3 linked regions of the Medicago truncatula genome follow. The protein of the gene in region 1 binds, or shares a complex with, the protein of each later gene. Links are inferred from orthologs where the notes say so. Each region holds a gene or a part of one and is shown in the gene's direction. Other genes may lie near its edges.

Region 1 (7,563 bases):
ATCCCTCGGCTCTAACTTATCTGTTGCAGGTGTTTGGTGGTCTTGACGAAATGAGAATTCTTTTTGTTTCTCAAATGCTTTTATCTTTTATTACCGTCTTATCATGGAAGCTCGTAATATAACTCTTATCTTTATCTCTTGCATTTCTAGTTCTCTACGAGACAAGAACATAGACGGATCAAATGGAATTCCTTCAATTCCTCTTGCACCATTCTTAATGTTGATTGCATCATGTCTTGGCAACCGTGTCAAAGTTGGATTTTATGGTTTGCTTCATCATCCTTCCGTGATATGGATCTCTAGTTTCTCGGGATTTCTTTCAGAAATTTAATATTCTTCATGCTTAGCTCCATGCTATTCATCAAAGACTTTGTTGACTAAGCAATTGGATTACCATGACATTATTTGTTTCATTGATTCTCTTCATTCCATCGATATACTCCATGATCAAACGCCAAGGCTTCACAAGTATACTAAGATCTTCTTCACTAATATATATTGACATGTTTGCATCACTCATATTCTCTAAGAAAATAGTTGTGTAAACATCCTTAACTTGAAGCTTCTTCTAGCATTGATCTTATGGTCCATCTCTTCCATCCAACCGGCATCTCAGACCTCCTCTTTACAGACTCTATGGAAACTTAGTTATGTAGAGCTAAATTTCTCTCTTTTTTTTTTCTTTTTTTTCTTTTTCTTTCTACTTCTTTCTCTTTAGCTTTGTAACAAAAAAACATTAAATTAGAATTTTAAAAAAAGAACTAAAAAACCTAATCCAAGTACACCTAACGTAAGCATAAACATCAGACAAGAAATTGCCCATTATACACACATTTTTACGGAGTCATCTTAGAATTTTCACAAAGCTAACCACCTATTTCAGATCCATTGCATTTACTATTTTTTTAGGGACATCCATTGCATTTACTCGATTCTTTTGAAAACTTTTGAGTTTTCTCACCCTTTTCCCTTTTTCTATAGTACTAGGTAAATCTTATTTTGTCAACATCAAATGAAAAATATTTAAACATACACAAATGAAAAAATAATAATAAATAAATAATATGACTAATACTTTTATTATTTGTATGTGTGTTTAAATATCTTTTATTTATACTTGTTAAAAAAATATTTATACTTGTGATCAAATACTCCATCCGTTTTAAAATATAAGAAATTTTACATACATCGTTAATTGAATGAACTTAAAAAATAAAATTTATTTATATTTTACATCGTTAATTGAATGAATCTAAAAAGTAAAATTTACTTATATTTTAAAACGGAGGAAGTAAGATTTGCTCCAAGTAGAATACTCCCAAACTAAAAAGTTGACATTTAAGTGGAAAGCAGAATCAACAACTTGGTCAAAGTCAAAGCATTATTTAATTGATCCCAGTGAAAGGGAAATGCTACAGTTTCATGGAAAGTGGCTCCACTCATGTCTCAAAGACTCATATCAATGGAGTTATGACAAACCACAAAAATTGTTTGGAACAAATGCTATCAATGAGCAATGTGATAGTGGGTTTAAGAAATTAATCTTTAAGTTTTTTATGGTCCTGATTTTGTGTTCAAAGGCGGATTTGGGCATAGAAATTGTTTGCTTTTGCTGTGTGTGTTTATATATATATATATATATATATATATATATATATATATATATATATATATATATATATATATATATTATTTTATTAATTTTATTATTTACTTAACTTTTATTTAATTTTAATCTCTTGTTTAAAAAAAAAATAAAATTTTAATCTCTATTTTACAAATTTTGTATAAAAAAATTGTGTTTTTACCCCCTTTACCCAATAGGTAATAAACAATGTAGTCTCTATGAAAGCTACATGGAGACTAAAATTCATTTTAAACTTATATCATAACTAATTTGAGAAACTTGATTTCACTTCCTTTAAAAAAGAGAAACTTGATATCATTCGAATTTTTATTTATAAAATTCACTTTAATGATAAACATATATAGATATCAGTACAATAGTAATATAATATTAAGTGATGATTGTTTTCTTTCTTTATGAATGTGAAATTTTTATTTTATTTTTATAAAAACATTAGACATCAAAACTAAAATTTTATTTTAACAAAACTCAATATGAAGACCTGAAGCTGACTTTTCTTTTCCATTTTGTGTTGGAAATGATATTTAAAAACAGTGTAATATTTACTGTAATGTGAAAATCAAATTATATTGTGAAAATCTTTAAGCCATTTCATTTGAAATTTATATATTTTACATCACTTTTTTAGAGGACCCGCTCTTTTTTTAAAGGCACCATGTGAAAAATCATACTCCTGTCCACGCTATACAATTAAGTAAAAAACAAGTAAATTGAATATAATATTTTTTATGTATTTTTTTGTCAAAATATTTTTTTATCTATTAGAGAGGGTTTTTGTTTTAGTCATTTTTAAGTATAGTAAAGAATATAAATGAAGAGAGACATTTTTTAACACAAATAACTTACATTTATAAATGAAAAAAAAAATTATGGGCCCTCTTATCCACCGAAGTAAGAATATAAATGAAGAGAGACATTTTTTAACACAAATAACTTACATTTTATAAATGAAAAAACCATCTCCTGTCAAAAAAAAAATTATAAATGAAAAAAAAAAACATTTATGGGCCCTCTTATCCACCGAAGTGTTCCCTTAACAGCCCAGTTTCTGCATGTAGCCTTCGCTCGTATGAAAATTGCTTTTAAACACCTTGGATTACTCACAAACACCTAAAACTTTCAAAAATATCATCACTAGGAGTTACGAACCGTTCACCTGTGAACGGTAGCCAGGGATTGTTCGAGATTTTGTCAATGGTAGTTAGGAACCGTTTTCAATATACCTTTGCAGGTAAATTATGTTATGCCTGGATGAAGTTATTGATATGCTTAAAATAGCTCATGAAATATGCTTTTTAAGCATTCCCATCAACACAATCGTCAATCACCATCACTTTTAAAAACATAACCGATCTTCTGATTATAATCACCGTACAAATTCGATATCATAAGATTAAAATTGAAATTCAATGTTATGATTTACAATTGCTATGTTCTAATCGTAATTTTCAATAGAAGTATTTTCGAAAGTTTAAAGTCATTACAAACAATCTAAGGTGCGTATTTTTCCCTCGAATAGAATGAGAGAAAAACCAAACAAGCTATCAACCTTAGGAAAAACCCAATCACATTGTCGAAGAGATACTCCTCTTATCTTAGATAACATCATCTTTGGGGACATATTAAATTGGTACGGTCGGAGTGAGGTAAACAACTAGCATCACTTATGTATGTGGTCACAAGTGTTTTTTTATGTTAAAAAAAAAGTGTTCTTATGTTGTAAATTTTTAGTAGTTACACCTTTTATTTTGTAATTTATTTTAAAGTTGTAATTATTTTATATTATTGTTTTTACTAAAATTTTTTAGACACGTTTCTTTTGTTCGGATTATTTTATGGTTTGCAACAGTTGAAGCAGCAAGTCTACATTGTAGGTATGGAGGTTAGAAAGACACAATCACTATTTTCCTTATACTCTATTTTGTTTTATTGAGAGTCAATTTACTTGTGCTAATATTTCTCTTTGATTTACTACTTAATGATAATTATATTTCATTTTTTCAACATGTGGTACTCCATATGGTACGAAATCTGTATATGAGACATGTATCAATATATTCATCAATTTGTTATGCATGAGAAAACACATGGTTGAATTTAAAAAATGGATATCAACATGGAAGCCGTTAAGTGCAATGACATAAGCTAAGGTAATTTGGTGGGGAAATTCTTAAGAGTTAAGAACGTGTTTGTTTAAATGAAAGCATGAGAGATTCCAATGGTGGATGGGATAAGAGGTAGAAGAACCATACTTCTCATTCATCGCTTCCCATATTTATTCCTATCTAATCAAACAACCCATTCTGGTTTCAAATTTCCTTCTATGAACACATGATTACCTTAAGTAGAAACTCAATAATTTTAGATTAGTAAGAATGCAATGTAAGTAGATATGTATTATAGGAGACGATCTCATTTTAGATTACCTTAAGGAGAGGATCTTGACCTGTATTCTAGAGAGTATTGCACTTCGCATCTTGATGATGTAAAATCTTCTCATTGACCAAATTTCTTTGTTAGATTCATACCACAGTCCACACATACATATCTAAAAGTGCTTGCTCAACATTCTATTGTCATGCATTATACCATGTGAAGTTATGTATGTTCATCTACTCCTATACAATAATGACAACCAGATGTCATTCCAAAACATGAATTAAATCACGTCATCACGTAAACTTAGCTCAGTTGATAAAGACAATATATACTATATATAATGTAAGAGGTTTTAACCCCGACCACCACAAAATACACTAACTTCTATTGATTAATTTTTACTTACATTTTAGGACGGAGAGAAGACATATTTTCTCCATCATTAATTAACAATAATTCATAAGAGGCCAGCATTTTGTGATGTAGCTTATAGCATCAAATCAATCACGTGGAAATATCTCACCCTCACAAACATCACATTCCTGGACCCACTTTCTTCCACTCTAAACCCGCTTCTCTTCAAATCACCACCACACGCATCAAAACCATTTCATCTCAAAAACCTCACATCACACCATGGAAGAACACTCCGTCGGACCACTCGTTCCCGCCGTCGTCAAACCCGAACCATCCAAAAACCTCTCCACCACCGTAACCGTCACCGGCGACATCGCCGGTGGAGACAATTTCCCGATCGCAACTATGACGGAATTAGATAAAGACTTTCTATGTCCGATTTGTATGCAGATTATCAAAGACGCGTTTCTTACATCTTGTGGTCATAGCTTTTGTTACATGTGCATTATTACTCATCTTCGGAATAAAAGTGATTGTCCTTGCTGTGGTCATTACCTTACCAATAGTAATTTGTTTCCCAATTTCTTACTCGATAAGGTTCGCAATCGTAATCACAATCGCAATTCGTGTTCATGTGTTCTTCGCTATGAATTTAGTAACTGCTAGTGTTTAATTGATAATTTGCGTTTTGAATTGTGATGTTTCGGTTTTGGAATTGCGTTTAGATTAAGATTTAGAAACTACTTGAGGCTTGTTTGGATTGACTTATTTGAGCTTATCTAATGACATAAACACTTGTGAGACTGCTTGGAAAAACTTTTGAAACAGTTTACTACACGTTCATAAGCTGTTTTCAGTTTATTTTTGTAAGTTTTCCAATATAGCAAATGAAAACAGCTTATAGCTTATGTGAAAATAATTTAACCTTATTTTATTTTTTGTTGCAGAAATAACTTATACATATGCACTTATTATGATAATCACTTATACTATAAGCTACAAGTTAAGTTGTTTTCCAAACATATGAATGAATTCGGTTTCACAATGCTTGTTGTTTAATTGCTAGAGATTAATTGATATTTTGCATTTTGAATTGTGATATTTCGGTTTTGGAATTGTGTTTGAGATTAGATTTATGCCTGTTTGGATTGACTTATCTGAGCTTCTCTACTGGTATTAGTTTTATGAGAATGTTTTGGAGAACTTATAAAAACAACTTTCTGACAATTTTCATAAGCTTTTTTCGGCTTATTTTAGTAAGTTCTCCATATAGCTTATGGAAATAGCATATAGAAAAACAATTTAACTTTATTTTATCTTTTGCTAATGTAAGCTTATACATAAGCAGTTATAATGATAAGTGCTTGTGCTATAAGTTGCAAATAAACTGTTTACCCAAATAGAGCCTAACACCCAGGAAATTGCTTGTTTTATGAATGAATTCGGTTTCTAGCTCATTGTTAACGGTTTCTGTACCAATTTGTAGCTACTAAAAAAGACGTCGGATCGTCAAATATCGAAGACTGCTTCCCCCGTGGAGCATTTCCGGCAGGCGATACAAAAGGTTGGTTGTACTCTTGCTACCTGTATTGGTTTGCAGTTTGTTTTGTGGTGACTTATACCTTTGTTGTTGTTGATCTTGTTTTACTTAATAATTCATTTTTGCTTCTAGTTTTATTTCAAACAATGAATATTTCGTTTTGAGTACAATGTGGAATACATGACCTATGTAACATCTGCATTTCGGAGTCCAGTGTATGACACATGTCTGTATCCAACACTGATACAACATGTATGTGGTTACACTGTATCAATTCCATTTTTCAAATTATTACCGGCGTCTATGTGTCGGTATCATTGTCGTATCCGGTATCCGTGTTAGTGCTTCACTGTACTTGACATGATATGTATGGGTTTAACAGGGGTGGTTAAACAAAACTGGATTAACTTTTAACTGTCGTAATTCCTTTGTTTACCATACTAATTGTACAACAGTGAGAGGTTTTTGTTGCAATAGTAGGCTGTTTTTCTTCTTCTGTTTTTTGATAAAGCAATAGCAGGCCGTTGATCGCGCAGTTCACGTTCCACTAAATTATGAATATAATTCTACAAGAAGTTTTGATGTTCCAGAAAAGATAACGAAAGAGAATGATACTAATAGTTCCCCTGTTCTCGGCCTCTAATCTAAAGTTTAAGGGAGGAATGCTGTATTGCCTGCAGTGCCAGTTTCTTGTAAGAGGAAATATAATCTGATTCATTAATTTACGTCATTCATTTGTTGAGATGATTAAATAAAGGCTTAATAGCAGTTTTAGACCCTTAACTTTTCCAAAGTTGCAATTTTGGCCCCCTAAGAAAAAAAAACTACAAAACCACCCCCTAAGTTTTGCATCTGTGGCAGTTTTGGCCCCCAAGACCAATTTGACTCGGTCTACACTGACGTGGCACTCTAAGTGAGGTGCCACATGTTATTTTTATTTTTATTACAAAAAATTGGCTTTGGGGGGCCAAAACTGCTACAGTTGCAAAACTTAGGGGGCGGTTTTGCAGTTTTTTTTCTTAGGGGACCAAAATCGCAACTTTGAGAAAGTTAGGGGGCTAAAACTGCTATTAAGCCTTAATTAAAACAGTAGGCGTTAGATCAAAGTAGATGGTTAAGAATAATACTATTTTAAATTGCAAGTCACTGTTTCCCATGCTACTTTTTTCTCCTCCTCTCCTGCCTTTTCTATCAACCGACCGTCCGTGCCAATAAATAGGAAAACAATTTATTTTGAAGCCTAATGTGAGAGGAGAACAAGGGCCATCATTCTCTGTTCTAATGGAAAAGTGCACCTCATAAACAATAATACCACAATTTGCATCATTTTTCCTTTACCCTCTTTCATGTTTGACAGAGACAGTACAGAACCAAACCTAAAGGAAAAAAATTAAAAACAAAAAAACAAAAAAAAACAATGTATAGTGGATTTTGTTATGGGGCGAGTGGTGAGTTCTTGGTGGCTGTGCTCGTGATTGTGAATCTGGTTGGGTTATTGGAGCAGAGTCGTGGGTCTACTATAGTCTATAGCCTTGATTTGTGAATGTAACCAGACCCACCTTCACCCAACCACAATAAGTAGAACACCAGTGCAAGACCCACCATTTTGACAACTCCGTGTAGTTTTCTGAACGAAAAT
Region 2 (7,540 bases), on another chromosome or scaffold:
AAGGAATGAAACTTCTATCACTGTTCCATATTCTGTCATATGGATCCATAGGGTACCTGTTTTTTAGAAGCTAAACCATGTTATCAAATCGAAATTCAAATCATGAACTAGAAGACCTATTTTCTGAATTGTGAATAGAATCCTCTTACGAATCGTAAGATACATTACCGATAAAAATATGACATTTTAAACTAAAAACATGTGACAGCTATTATAAGTTGATATATCATATTCGAACCTTAAAATAATTGAAGATTTAAGTCATAAATCAAATGACAAAAGAAAAGTGTCTGACTAAAAAAAGTTGACAAAAAAAAGTGCCTGACTATACTAAATTTAGGTAACGATTCATTACAGTGAAGTGAGATTCATCGTAGTGAATCGGAGTTCATCGTAATGAATCAGGATTCAGCATGAGATTTTTCCGAAATAGTTGCACACTAGAGATTCATAGTGATTGGACTCGGTTTTGCATCGAATCGAGATAAAACTCAAATGCATAATAAGATACTGCTAACCATGAGCTAAACCATAACTGTTCATAATAAAATTAGTTGCATAATTAGAAATCAATCTATGGTTCATACCTTATAGACTCATTGATGTGTCCACAATCAACTCTATAACTCATCCTAAGCAATTTATTTGGAAAATTTTCCTTGCCCTTTATGTAGGAACCTTTAGGAAGTGGTCTAATTTCAAGTAAAGAAATTATAGGAGAACCACCACTTGGAATTGAATTCAAACAGCATGCCAATGTATCCTTATTGACTTCCCATAGAAACTCTTCTATCCATGGATCCTTTCTAGCTAGATTTATCTTAGCAGCAATGGCTGTCCCAAGAGAAACATAAAAAATAGGCGGTTTTCCAAGTCCATCATAGTTCTTGTACACAAATTTTGCTCTAACAAGAATCAAACTAGTGGCATTGCTCATTGGTATCCGATAGCATGCGCGACGTTTGGAATGAGGGAAGAACCGAGCTGAGACATTTGTTGACAAGGAACCGTCATTGTAATTGATGGTGGTTGTTTTTCCTGTGGTTATGTAAGGAGTGTCTGAGAACCATGAAATGTTTGATGAATCATTGAAGCTTGTTGTTCCACCACATGATAGACTCAAGAAACCTGTTACATGAAATTCAACAAGAAAATAGTGAAAACTACTTTCATGTTTGTAATCTAATAGGCTTTGTGAAAGATATTAATATTCAACAAGTATTGAACTTAGAAAAAATGGCCATGAAATCATGAGTATATAAGTTAGTGATGAACTTTTCCCACCCTCTAAGATACTACGGATGCACACATTCGGAAAAAACGTAGTTTTTGTGTTGTCCAGATGTGTACTTCTGAACAAAAATACTGTTTCTCCTTTGAAAATGCACACTCTCAGGTCCGAGGTCAATACCACCAGGTCAACCCAAGTATTGAGGATGGACAAAGATTTTTCTATAAGTTAAGATTGAATAATGAAAAAACATGCTTAGAAAAATGTCATTATCTTATAAAGTTGTATAAGACATACCATCTTGTCCAGAGAAAGCAACAAACAAGAAGCTATGAAGCAAAAAGAAGATAGTCCATGAATTTCTTGAATCCATGAATTGTGATGCATACTATAAATTCCAAATGTTGTGTTTATCTTTTACAGAATCAAAGGAAGAAAAGTGTATATAAATAAAAGTAGTGTGACTAGTGTCATAGTTGTGTGTAATGATGAGAAAGAACAATTGTTACAACATTATATGAAAGAAACATGATAAAGCTTTAAGGAAGGGAAAAGAACACTAAGTGTAAATTCAGGAAAGTGTCTTGGTTTGGTAGAGTGATCAAGTTGTTGAGCATAGAGATGGAGAAAGGAAAAGTGCATAGTTGAGGTTATGATGATTAAAGGATTGTAGAGTCATTGAAGATGGGAAAGTTATTATATTATTTTAATTTGTTTCTTTAATGTAAGCTTTAACTAGATTTTCCTAGTACTTCTAGTGCAGTGTTCCTTTTGGAAACATTGGGAAAAAAATACCTTCCATATCTAGTTTGAATAGTGTTTTTTTTACATTTTTTATATTTTAGCAAATGAAGTTTGAATAGTGTTATTTATAAAAAATAAATTAAATTTTCTTTCAAAAAAAAAAATTTAATTTTTAATATAAATATAGACGTCTCAAAGGAGTGGTCCAATGATTTAGGTTGAAACATTGAAAGAGTTATATGTAGAAGGTGGAGGTTTAAATCTACTTTTAACATTTATATATTAGGATATACACCCTCCGATCACTATTATAAGTAAAAACCCAATTGTTTGTTTCATTGAATAACCAATGAATCTTGTTTATAATATTGACTATATACATCAATCATTTTTTTTGAGCAATGTCATCAATTATTCATGAAACCCAACAAGTAAATTTTTGTCTATAATAATGACTAAAGAATACATAGGGTTAATGGAGATCTCAAATACAATGTGGCAACAATAACATTTGATTAAGGTTACATATTTAATCAAACTCATGCTAAAAAAGTTGTTTAAGATTTTTTATAAAAATTAAAAATCATTTAGTTAATGCATCTTGATACAAAAATATCCTTTTTTTTATTTCAGAAATTATTTTACCAATTTATATTTTCAAAGCAAAAAAGAGTATACATTTCTACAAACAATTTAAAGATATAATTGAAACAAATATAAATTATATTTTTGGTCTATAAAAGAAGTATAAACTATTACTTCTGAAGGCTACCTAATCTTCAAATTCAATGCTTAGAGTACAAGTCTTGATTAACATTAGTGGTACTTGATTGGGTTAAATCATTCATGTAGAAAATAGGTCCTTCGTATCAAAGTAACTTCTAAAGCACAATTAATGCATTGGCCCTTCATATTAACAAATAATTATTGGCTAAATCATGTTTATAGTTTGACCCAGATTGGTAAATTAAATATTTTTATCAGGATTGGAGTGTATTTGTATACTATATTTATAGTTTTAGCTTTTAAGTTAAGAATAAAGATCGGTAGACACCCTTAATGTGTATATCTCTTTGTGTTACTCTCGAAAATTTCAGTTAACCAAATATATGGTCGGTGTGACCATATTTTTTCAGTTGTGTGACCACTATTTAGAAGCTGAAAAATGTGGTCACGCAACTAAAATACGCGTGACCAATATTTTTCCACTTAGTTAACCAAATAAATTCTGAAAAAAAAATAGTGGTCACTCAACCAAAAAAATGTGGTCAAACAGACTATATATTTAGTTAACTGAAAATTTTCAAAGTGATACAAAGGAGTGTGCATATTAAGGATATCTACCTATCATTGCTCTTAAGTTAAACTCTGCCAATCACAGGTTTTGTTCCACAACTAAAGATGAAGGACATTCAAGTGTCTATGCATGGTACCTCACACTAGATTTTTTTGATGTACCCATTGTTGTGTTTATAAATTCGAAGCATTGCTATGAAGACATTATTGGGTAAAATTATGTAAGATTTTTAATTTGGAAATTTAGATTCAAAGAAAAAGAAGTTATTGGAGAAAGAAAAAGGAAGAATGTGACATGTCTATATGAGTTATCCCAATAGTAAATCCATCATATTTTACTTCGTTAGCTTTTGTTTTACTCAACCTTAGCATGTTCGAATATAAAAAAATTTAAAATTTATATTTGATCAATGCATGGTAGGATTGGTGAAATATGTTTTAGCTTAGAGTGAAAAAATTCATTACTTTATACAATCATTAATCTACTGAATTATTGTGTCTAGTCGCTTTGTTAATTTTCTTATCATTTTGAAACAAATTGTAGTCGGAACGAGGCAAAGTGATTACAAATTAGAATCTAAGTTAGTGAAATCAACAATATCATAATTAAGCACGATGGAGGTTGTTTAATTTGAAATAAAATTTATTTTTATAAAAGAAAGGTACGGTTGACGGCCGTGGCTGAGTACGAGTTTTGTGTCGAAGCTAGGTGGTTGGTAACGGAGAGTATTCATCATTGTATAAAAAAGAACGTTGAAAACTACTCTCTCCGTTTCAAAATATAAGCAAAATTCACTTTTTTAGTTCATTCATTTAATAATGTATGTGGTCTATACATGTTAGATAATGTATTGCTAACACTAATCATGCAAAAACTAATTTTGAAGTTGGAACGTTTACATGACTATAAAAACTAAGTCGTGGTAAAGCTATATAAGAGTTGTATGTTCTCATACCCGGTTTTAAATATAAATAAAAGGAAACAAATATAAACAAAAGAAAAAAAATTAAACAAAATTGATCTATATGATTAAAAATTTGAACCATATGCATCAACTTTGTTTATAAATGATTGTTATTTTGTTTATTTGTAAAAAAGAAAAGATTTTCGTTTTAAAAATATTTAATATGAAATAGTAATTGGACGTATTGTGTAAAATGAGGCTACAGAAACACGTAAAACACAGAAGAAAGGTTTGGTTGAATGCACATCAACGTGTTCATTTCTGAACCAAAACTCTTTTAGGCCCCATCACTCTTTCAAAGACAATGTTTCATCATGAAAACATTTCAACACAACCCAACATTGCAAGTGCATTAACATGTTACACACACACACATTTCTTTTTTGTTACTTGAAATTTCTCTGAGGTATCATAAACAAATCATAGAAAACAAAACATGTCTCTTTCAAGAGCCAATGATACTGAGATGAAGGAATCTGCAACAACAGGAGCACCTTCATCTTCATCTTCTTCATGGAATAGGTTACCTCCTATGCCTCCAAATAGATTTGGTAAGTGTCATTTTCAATTTTTTTTTATTATTTTATTTTATGCTAAAGTTTTTTTTGACTCATATTTTATCCTCAAGTTAAGGTCTTTTATTTTATTTTATTTTTGACATAATCCTAAGTCAAGAGTTTATCAATATGTTATTAAAAAAATATGATAAACTAATCCAAAGTCCAAACATACAAAGATTCTTCATAAAGTTTGTCAAAACAAAAAAATATTAAGTATATTGTTTTTTTTTTTTTTTTCATTAAGTATATTGTTGGATTCCGATCATTTAAAAACAACTTGTTTCATGAAAAGTAAAGGTATATATATATATATATATATATATATATATATATATATATATATATATATATATATATATATATATATATATATATATATATATATATATATATATATATTGTCATGTAGTAAAATTTAATTGTGAAGAAGTGGAGTGTCCAAGGTTCGAACCCCGATCCCTAAATATAAAATACAATATCCCTACCAACTGAGCTAAACTCATGGATAGTTGGTCCATATATTAAAGGGCCCTTATAATATACACGCGCATATATATATTAAATTGGTCTAACATTCTACCCAATTATACTTTCATAGCATCATTCTTTTTAGATATGATTGAATCTGTATAAACCGTTTTTATATCAACAATTTGACAAATTTAGATTATCCACAATATCATATCAGGGAAGTTTATCCACATTCATATGATCGATACATCAATAATCATTTGATTGAGATGAAATAGTATAGATTTCAAACTTATTTTATCAATACAAAATTGTTACTTTTAAATTCTTTAACATGTAATCTTAGTACACAAGTTAGTTATTATAACTCTTTAAATTTCATTTGACATTGTATGCAAATTCAACTTAGTCCATATTAAACGTGACATGTTTTGTTTTTACAAATACTACTAAATATGTCATGCTAATAAGTCATGATTTTTTTACAAATTCCAGAAGATAGCGATGAAGATCTATTTGAAGTTCCGGATGTGGAAGGTACACAATGTCAAAGTGTCCATTCTGAGTTAACAAATCAAAATAGTAACCACAATCAAAGCAATGTAACTGATGCTCAACTTCAAGCTGGCTTCCCCGGAAAGCGCCGCCGCGGAAGAAACCCGGCAGACAAGGAACATAGACGTCTCAAAAGGTAAGGGACATAAGTTAACACAAATTTTAACTATACCTTACACCCTATAGTCACTATTATAAACAAATAATCACTTTTTAAATTCATTGAATAACTGATGTATTTTGTATATAATATAGACTTTTGAATTAATTTCTACATTAAATTATCAAACTTGTCACTAAGAAGATTTGGATACATATTGCAATTAAGGTGAGGTTTAGCATGGGAAAGCTATTTTTTTTCCACCATGGGAAAGTTAGTTTTTGACCATTAAATCAAACCAAGAACACATCCTTATCATACTCCCTCATCACTAGATTTTGTAATTTTATTATTTTAAAAACAAAAAATATATTTCAAAATTAAAATAAATATTTAAAAATAAAAAATAAATTTAAAAATATGGAAATTAATTTTCCAAAATTTTAAAAAATATAAATAAACTTTTTGAAATAAACTTGTTTTCAAAAAATTTAATTATGATTTTCGAAGATTAAATTTTTGTAATTTTCAAAAATTAATTTCCATATTTTTTTAGAATTTTTTTATTTCGAAAAAAATGTAAAAATTTCTGAAAATATTTTTTTTTGTATCAATCAGACTTTTATTTTTAAATTTATTTTTTTTATTTTTAAATGATTATTTTAATTTCGAAATATATTTTTTATTTTTAAAATAATAAAATCTAGTGATGAGGGAGTATGATAAGGATGTGTTCTTGGTTTGATCTAATGGTCAAAAACTAACTTTCCCATGGTGGGAAAAATATAGCTTTCCCATGCTAAACCTCACCTGCAATTAAAATGTTATTCAAGAGTAATTAAGTTATTGAACTCAAACGGTTCAAGAAGAATCATTCATAATACTTAATTAGAACAATTTTAGTCCAATTTTACATATCTTTCAGCCGAACTGCAGACTATACTATTTGAAACTAATAAATGACTTATATTACAAATAGGTTGCTAAGGAATAGGGTCTCGGCCCAACAAGCCCGTGAAAGAAAAAAACTGTACGTGAATGACTTAGAATCAAGAGCTAAAGAGTTTGAAGATAAGAACTCCAATTTAGAAGAACGTATCTCAACTTTGACCAATGAAAACACCATGCTCCGAAAGGTAACATAATCTGAACTAAATATGTTTTAACAAATTGTTTGTCACTTACTATTTACTATAGAATTATATAACATCATGTTGATCAAGTGAAAATTTATTCTATGATATTTACTTGTACAGGTTCTTATGAACACTAGACCCAAAGTTGATGAGAGCAATGAAGGTTAGACAGGGATATAAGGTTCTTCTAAATTAGGGCATTGTTTATGAGGTAGTATTATATACCTCACTCACATGTGTACCACTATTACTTATTTATAAAATTGTGTAATTCATTATGAACACTAGTATTATTTCCCAAAAAAAACTGATAGTTTACATTTTTACTTTTAAATTGTGTAATTCATCAATTATATTTAAAATGTGCAATTGCTTGATAAAAGTAAACAAGCCCAAGCCCAATAACTCTGATCGCTTCATTTGACCAACAAAAATTCCAATTTGTTGAGGATTCATGGTCATCCATCGGTTAAACTCTTAAT
Region 3 (7,463 bases), about 9.9 Mb from region 1:
TTGGGCAAAGTCAATATAACAATGACTCTATTGTAGCAAGTAGAAATAATGTGACCCATATTCGTCAACCACTTGTCTTCCGGCGCAATTAGAGCTGTCAAAACGGGCAGGCCCATATGGGCCGGCCCGTTTAGCCCGAATAAATATAGGGCTTGGGCCGAAAATATTGAGCCTGAATTTTGATAGGGCTTTTTAGCCCGGCCCTTAAAAGCCCGGTACCCGTTAGGGTTAGACCGAATGGGCCGCGGGTAGCCCGTTAGCCCGCATAACAAAAAAAAATTCTATAAATTATATATATTTTTCAAATAATTATTTACTTAGTTGATTATCAAAGTAAAAAACAAAAATGAAAATTCAATGAATTAACACAAATATAAATGTAATATAAAATTATATTTATTCATTTCGTTATTTATAGTTTTAAAGATCGAATATATAAATATCTATAACCATAACATATCTAATTTATTTAAAATCATTTTCCTCGTCGTTTTAGTTTACGACGTTTGTACGAAAATGATTACAATTTACTTTTGTGCTAGACATTATTTAAACATATTAAAAATATTATTTATAAAAAAATTATAGTAGTGTTTTATAGTACTTTTTTAAAATAAAAAAATATATATAATTTTTAATACGGGCCGGCCCGTTTAGCTCGCGGCCCGTGTAGGGTCGGGCTCGGGTAGTATATTTCAAGCCCGTTTTGTCAACTGGGCTTTTTGGCCCAGCCCGCTAAAGCCAGAAGCCCGCTAGGGCCGGGCCGCCCGTTTTGACATCTCTAGGCGCAATACCACTTCTACTTGTTGGAGGGTGTAAACCATCCAAGATAAGTTTAAAATGCTTCTCGGTACCATATATCGGCAAATAGTCACTCTTATGATTTTTCAACTCATTAATAAGTGCATGGCGAACCAAAACATGATTATCCTCATCCGTTCCCAAGTGCCTAGCTATGACCCAGAATCCACAATTATCATCCCCCTTAACATTCACAATGTCTTCAATGTAAGGTCTCATGATCATTGGAATTTGTGAAATGTATGGTATATTCGAATAAGGTTTTGGTTTTGAAGTAGGTGTTGAAACTTGTGAGAGGGAGTAAGTGCCAAGACGTGCACCTTTACTCTTTGGAACATTACTATTGGCTTTTGAGCATTGACTATCAGGATTTTGAGAATCAATACTCTCTCGCCTAGAGGGGATTCGACTCGTGGACCTCGTTTTTGGTGTAGACTTCACCCTTTTAGGTGCTCCCTTGGTTACCACTTTTCTCGGAGGTGAATTCAACATTGTGTCCTCCGGAAATACCAGACATAGACTTTATATTAAGGAGAGTTGTGGATTTGTAAGCTCAGTGGGAGTAAATTTATATATCTATTTTAGTGTATCAATTTTATTTTATTTAGTCAACAATGAAATATGTTTGTTATGTTAAACCAATAAAATCTCTAATGAAAATTAGCGATGAAAGATCTTAGGAACACCTCTTTTGTATTAGGCTTTTCGATACTTAGAGATTCCTCTCAAGGTATCATTCAAATATCACAAAAGAGTTATATTAATAAAGTTGAAATGAAATGACATAATTTATGGGTGACATCGAACACCAAGATAATCTCAAATATTGCCCTTTAGAAAATTTATAAATTCTGAAAATCAAGTATTTTTCTATGACTTGGCTATAGAAATATTGTGTATAGTCTTATTTATATGCATTTGGAAATAACTTATATAATCATATTGTTTGGCAGATACTTGAGCAATTCAAAATTTGAATTGTTGAAAAGGCAACCATAAGAATTATTAAAGAGAATAAGAGAGTTTATACTCACACCAGAAATCTAACAATTTAGAGTTCATTAGTGTGTTAGACTATGACTTTTAGATGTCTGTAAATAATAGACATCCTAACTCAGGAAACGGCTGTAAATATTTATGTCACTTGGTTGCATATTGTTAAAGGGTTATTATTGTTATAACTATATTGGTATTGTTTGTGCAAATATTGAATTTAAAAATTTCAGTTTGATCTCAATAAAGACTTTAGTTTGACCAATTGGAAATAGACATGATTTAAAGATCACATTACTGAAATTTTCATGTCACTCATCCATATCGATATATGTCATCAAGTGCATTGATATGGTGGTCCCCGGGGTTCCGTCACGTTATATGTCAATGACGACAACTGCGGTGGTCCTATTATTAATGTATGAGGTGGGCTAGATTGTTGAGTAGAAATCTAAAGATAAATAACATTCAGTCGCGCACCTAAAGAATTCTATTATAATTATTAAGATAAGTAGCACAAGTAGGAGATTGTTGGAATATTTTATTATTTTATTATATTCCATTGTCATTAAGTGGGCAAATATCTTGTAATAATTATATTAACTATTTATCAATTTGGAGCCTTAATAGTGATCAAATTAAGTAACAAGAATGATTAGATTTCTATTTGGATAATTAATTATTTAAAATAATTGATATGAACTCTATGAGTGGATGTTTGGATGGTCCATCAACGGAATATTGAGAAACTTTAATGGCAAATCACACTATAAGAGGTTATGGTCCACGATATACCGTACACGGTAAACTCTCCCTTTTCCATCTGATGAGAACTAGAGGCATAAAGGTACCGATTGAGGAAGTATCAAATCAGCCGCCACCGACTCTATGTTGTGTATTTCAGATCGCGATTTCTCCTCTTTCAGATCGTTGATGTTGAGAGGACTGTCATCAAAGCTTCATTCATATATTCCTAATACCTAATTCTTAATATCTTGATGAATCAAATATGTCGTAGTTTATATCATAATTATGTTCAATGTTTTGTTTGCTTCCACTATTTCATAATGATTGAACATGTTTTATGAAATCTGTTTTTATTTAGGCCTAATCCCAACAAATGAAGGTAGATGATGAATTTTCTAGATTTCATGATGAATGTGATGAATTTTAGGATTGGTGATAAATTCTATCAATTTTTTGACAAAAGTTAACAGCAAATATTTATCTGGCTAACGGAAGTATAAGTTAAAGAACCAAAACATAAGGTTAATAAATTATGCGACCAAAACGAAAACAACAAATAAGTTAATAGACTAAATATCAAATTTAGCAAAAAGAAAATGTACGCATATTTCTCCCCTATTTTTTATTTCCGACACATCCATGCAATCTTCAACAAGATTATTACTAATTGTTGATCTAAATTTGTCTGCGTGTGGTTCTAAAATTTGTTGTCTTACTCTTACCTGGACAACATTTAAAGTCAGTCTTCACTGCGCAAGTAAGCATAAACGACTGACACATAAAAACGACCCGTGAATGGAATCTGAGATTCGTGAAGAGTCGATAGTAGAAGCATAATTCCCACATCCTGGTGAAGAAAAAGAAAATAATATAAGCTAAGTAGTTTGGTTGCAACATATCTATACCAAATCTGATATCTTTCACTTCCCATAACTTGCTGTTCCTTGTAAATCGGCTAGTAAAATTGAAAAATGACTCCTGGAATCAGATGCAACTATAACTTTTTTATCATTATAAATAAATATGATTTTTAGGCATATATAAATACTGCAACAAGACGCAAAATCAAACAACGACGCACAAGATGACGAATAACACAACGCTACACTTAGACGATGATATCATTTATTTATATCGAAAGAAAGATGAAAAAAAATGCATAGAGATAATTTTAGGTCAAAAAAATAACCCTGATCTAACAATCGAATGTTAGACCAAAGCGAAGCCACGTCTAAAAATTACCTTGTGCTCTTTAAGATGCATGTTAGCCCAACAAACATTCGTTTAATTTCTTGAAAAGAAATACCCATTGTTCAATTAGTGATGTATCATAGTACAAACAAAGTAACCACCTCTAATTGTAGGGTAAGGAAGGGAACATGTTATAAATGACTATCTTTAAGGGAACGTTATAATTATTAAACTACAATCAAACAACAATAAACAACGTATCATCTCTTTGTTTATTGTTTCCAAAGAAAAAAATGTTCATTCTTTATTCTGATTAGACAAGAACAAGAACATAAATAAAAGATTTCTGATTCTATAATTAGTAAAAAGAAATCTCCAAAATCTCACGAGATTTTAGGAATATAAAAGAAAGCAAAAAGACTGCACGAACACAGAGTTAGATTGTGTTGGATTGTGAAGTGATGATAATAATGTAGGATACCCATGTGGGTTTCTGAGTTGGAACATGTAAGTATATGCTAAAGAAGAAAATATTTTTTATTTATTTATAATTTTATATTTTATAATTTATATATCTCTAAGGTATAGTTTATGTATCTATCATTTTGTTGATTCTCCATTATGTGTCACACTTGGTATATCAAAAATAGAAGAAACAACTAGAGACGTGGATGTGATTTGTTTTGTTTTGTTGCATGTTATAAGATAATAGAAATATTGAAAAATCTACATAGCATAAAAAAGTTGTGGCTGCAAATTCTCTACAAATTTTCATGTATCCCCCACTCAACCAATCCTCGTCATTTGTTCTAATCTCTCTCTCCTTGGACCTTTGTCTCAGTGTCACTATTTTCTCATTGCAACTTGAGTGAAAAATCAAAAAACAACCAAATTTAGAATTTCTTGGAAAACAAAACTACTCTTAAAGTTATGCTATATTTTTGGAAAAGGATAATTTATTAAACTCTGCATTTTTTTTTTTCATTGTATTTCATCTCTTTATGGCCTAAAATCTTCATCAATATAGAAAACAAATAAAGGGTAGGAAGAAAAACTCCTTTTTTGTGTGAAGATGTCATCAAGTGGTGGTGGATGCAGTATAGTTTGGTTCAGAAGAGATCTGAGGGTAGAGGATAACCCTGCACTAGCAGCAGGTGTTAGAGCAGGTGCTGTAGTTGGTGTTTTTATATGGGCACCTGAAGAAGAAGGACAATATTATCCTGGTAGGGTTTCAAGATGGTGGCTTAAGAATAGTTTGGCTCATCTTGATTCATCTTTGAGAAATCTTGGTACTCCTCTTGTTACCAAAAGATCAACTGATAGTGTTTCTTCTTTGTTGGAAGTTGTTAAATCCACTGGAGCCACTCAAATCTTCTTCAACCATTTATATGGTCAGTTTTTGTTTATTCTTATCTTATCTTAATTTTTGTTACTTTATATGATATTGCATGATTTTGTGCTTTCTGGTTCAATTTCTTTTATATGATTATCCTGTTTCTTTTGTTTTGTATAATTGATATAGCTTTTGATGTCTGAAATAAGATAAGACTAAATCTTCAATTTTGTCTTGTAATATAGAAATATGACAAGTAATCCTTAAATTATTCCCTCAATTGCTTTAAAGGACTAATTTGATGCATTAAAAATGGTTTAGGGATTACTAATTATATTTCTGCAGTTTAGGAACCAAATAAGAGTAAGAGTGATAGTTTAGGAACTAAATTGACGATTTATTCCATATGATACCGAGTTTTTGCTTAGTAATATCGACAACACCATTGCAAACTCTAGAATCCTTGGTAGTTGTAGCAATTTGAGTTGTTAGTTTCCATTATTATTTGGTAATAAACTGTAAAATCTTTCTTTGATTATAATTTCTTCTTTTTCGTATCAGTTTGTGATGTGTATGTCTCTGATAATTTCATTCATATAAGCTGCTTTATAATTTGAGATGATATTTGTTTTGTTTTTTATGGCTGCAAAACTGTGTAGAAATGTTATCATGCAAATTTCTATGTTACAGATCCATTGTCACTTGTAAGGGATCATAGAGCAAAGGAAATTCTAACGGCTCAAGGGATTACCGTACGTTCGTTCAACTCAGATTTATTGTATGAACCATGGGATGTGAACGATGAAAATGGCCAACCGTTCACAACTTTTGATTCTTTTTGGGAAAGATGCCTTAGCATGCCTTATGACCCACAAGCACCTCTTCTCCCACCTAAAAGAATTATTCCAGGTTTACTTTGTTCCTCTCCTTTTTTAGCCTCACTTTTTTTCCGACTTTTTTGACAATAGTTGTTATTTGATTGTTCGCCAGCTGCATGAGTCACAGAACTCTTGTGGTTCTTAGTTTGGATTCTGGAATATTGAACAAATTATCCATACCGAGAAAGGAATACATGCTTTTATCTGTTAAAAAGTTGCTTTTGTAACATAGCAAAAAGATGCAAAGGTATAAGGCAAATTCCTCAGTGGACCACTTTGGATCGATAATTGAAAATTGTCTGAAACATTAACCATGTCTGAGACCGTGACTTAATCTGTGCTGGTTCGACAAAAATAAGAAGAAAAAAATGAATGTCTGTCTCGAAACTCGGCACTTGGCCATGTATACGTCTCAGAGGTGAGGACATGGAGATCACGAGCTTCTATTTTTGGATGATAACGCCGGTTGTCGTTGGTGTTTCAGAAGATTTTCACTTATAACCAAACCATGTACAATCTATGAAAGTGGTCTACTCTAGAGGAGCCACCAAAGTATAATCATATTATTTAACAAGACAGGGTTTTTTTAATGCAGTTACAGATCTATAAATCATTGTGCCTGATTAACTATTAGTCCTTCCAAATTCCAATGTTGATGTATAATGATTTTACAAAAATAAAATTAAATATAAAGGTTCAACACATATGTTACTGAATTTTATAACTTGCTTCTAAGTCATAATTGGGCTAGCCTGCAACTTTTGTGTTTCATTAATTTCAAATTATACCCCTATTTTTCGCTATGAAAATACCATTGCAAGTGTAAGTTTGCATCCAAAAATATGTTTGTTTAAAGAAACTCTACAGATATTCTTAGTTCTTTGATTATTCAAAGTGCCATTAAAGTAAATGAGTGCAACAGAGAGCTGATTAAGGGACTAGCAAAGGCTGTACTTTATATTTATTAAAGAACCAAGTTCATGATCAAAATTTCAAGTACTTGGTAGTTGGTACTTGCCTATTTTATTTGTTGTATTGTCATGTTTCATGTTTTGACTTTAATTTGCATTTCATTAAACATTTCTTGCCATGTTTCAGGTGATGTATCAAAGTGTCCTTCTGATACATTGGTTTTTGAAGACGATTTAGAGAAAGCGAGCAACGCACTTCTTGCTCGAGCATGGTCACCAGGGTGGAGTAATGCAAACAAGGCATTAACAACCTTCATAAACGGTCCACTGATCGAGTACTCTAAGAATCGAAGGAAAGCAGACAGTGCCACAACCTCATTTCTCTCTCCACATTTGCATTTCGGAGAAGTTAGTGTCAAAAAAGTATTCCATCTTGTCCGAATCAAACAAGTCTTTTGGGCGAATGAAGGAAATGAAGCCGGCGAAGAAAGTGTTAACTTGTTTCTCAAGTCAATTGGTCTTAGAGAGTATTCAAGGTACATTAGTTTCAACCACCCTTATAGTCATGAAAGGCCTCTACTTGGACACCTTAAGTTTTTCCCTTGGGTG

The links.
Region 2: the proteins of E3 ubiquitin-protein ligase COP1 (region 1) and transcription factor HY5-like are in contact, whole or in part, in a crystal structure (PDB 6QTT), measured with the Arabidopsis thaliana proteins. The link is inferred for Medicago truncatula from reciprocal best matches to the Arabidopsis thaliana genes COP1 and HYH. Residues at the interface, in NP_180854.1 of Arabidopsis thaliana: Ile373, Ser375, Tyr441, Trp467, Asp484, Lys505, Ala506, Asn507, Cys509, Ala526, Asp527, His528, Lys550, Ala551, Ser553, Thr568, Lys593, Asn594, Phe595, Phe646, Ser648; in NP_850605.1 of Arabidopsis thaliana: Leu28, Leu29, Met30, Val31, Pro32, Asp33, Met34.
Region 3: the proteins of E3 ubiquitin-protein ligase COP1 (region 1) and cryptochrome-1 are in contact, whole or in part, in a crystal structure (PDB 6QTW), measured with the Arabidopsis thaliana proteins. The link is inferred for Medicago truncatula from reciprocal best matches to the Arabidopsis thaliana genes COP1 and CRY1. Residues at the interface, in NP_180854.1 of Arabidopsis thaliana: Ile373, Ser375, Val391, Lys422, Leu423, Ser424, Tyr441, Trp467, Asp484, Asn507, Cys509, Ala526, Ala551, Ser553, Thr568, Lys593, Asn594, Phe595; in NP_567341.1 of Arabidopsis thaliana: Glu544, Asp545, Gln546, Met547, Val548, Pro549, Ser550.

Annotation. Positions count from the first base shown.
Region 1 is NC_053046.1:37,990,178-37,997,740, forward strand, and holds the start of E3 ubiquitin-protein ligase COP1, read left to right. Parts: upstream 1-4,539; 5' UTR 4,540-4,663; coding exon 4,664-4,981; intron 4,982-5,870; coding exon 5,871-5,948; intron 5,949-7,563. UniProt on the Arabidopsis thaliana protein: E3 ubiquitin-protein ligase that acts as a repressor of photomorphogenesis and as an activator of etiolation in darkness.
Region 2 is NC_053048.1:27,045,233-27,052,772, forward strand, and holds transcription factor HY5-like, read left to right. Parts: upstream 1-4,535; 5' UTR 4,536-4,672; coding exon 4,673-4,787; intron 4,788-5,762; coding exon 5,763-5,958; intron 5,959-6,901; coding exon 6,902-7,058; intron 7,059-7,178; coding exon 7,179-7,226; 3' UTR 7,227-7,420; downstream 7,421-7,540. Other genes in the region: probable LRR receptor-like serine/threonine-protein kinase At5g48740, read right to left, coding at 1-56, 588-1,128, 1,529-1,604. UniProt on the Arabidopsis thaliana protein: Transcription factor that promotes photomorphogenesis in light. Acts downstream of the light receptor network and directly affects transcription of light-induced genes.
Region 3 is NC_053046.1:28,059,068-28,066,530, forward strand, and holds the start of cryptochrome-1, read left to right. Parts: upstream 1-4,458; 5' UTR 4,459-4,804; coding exon 4,805-5,123; intron 5,124-5,755; coding exon 5,756-5,974; intron 5,975-7,041; coding exon 7,042-7,463.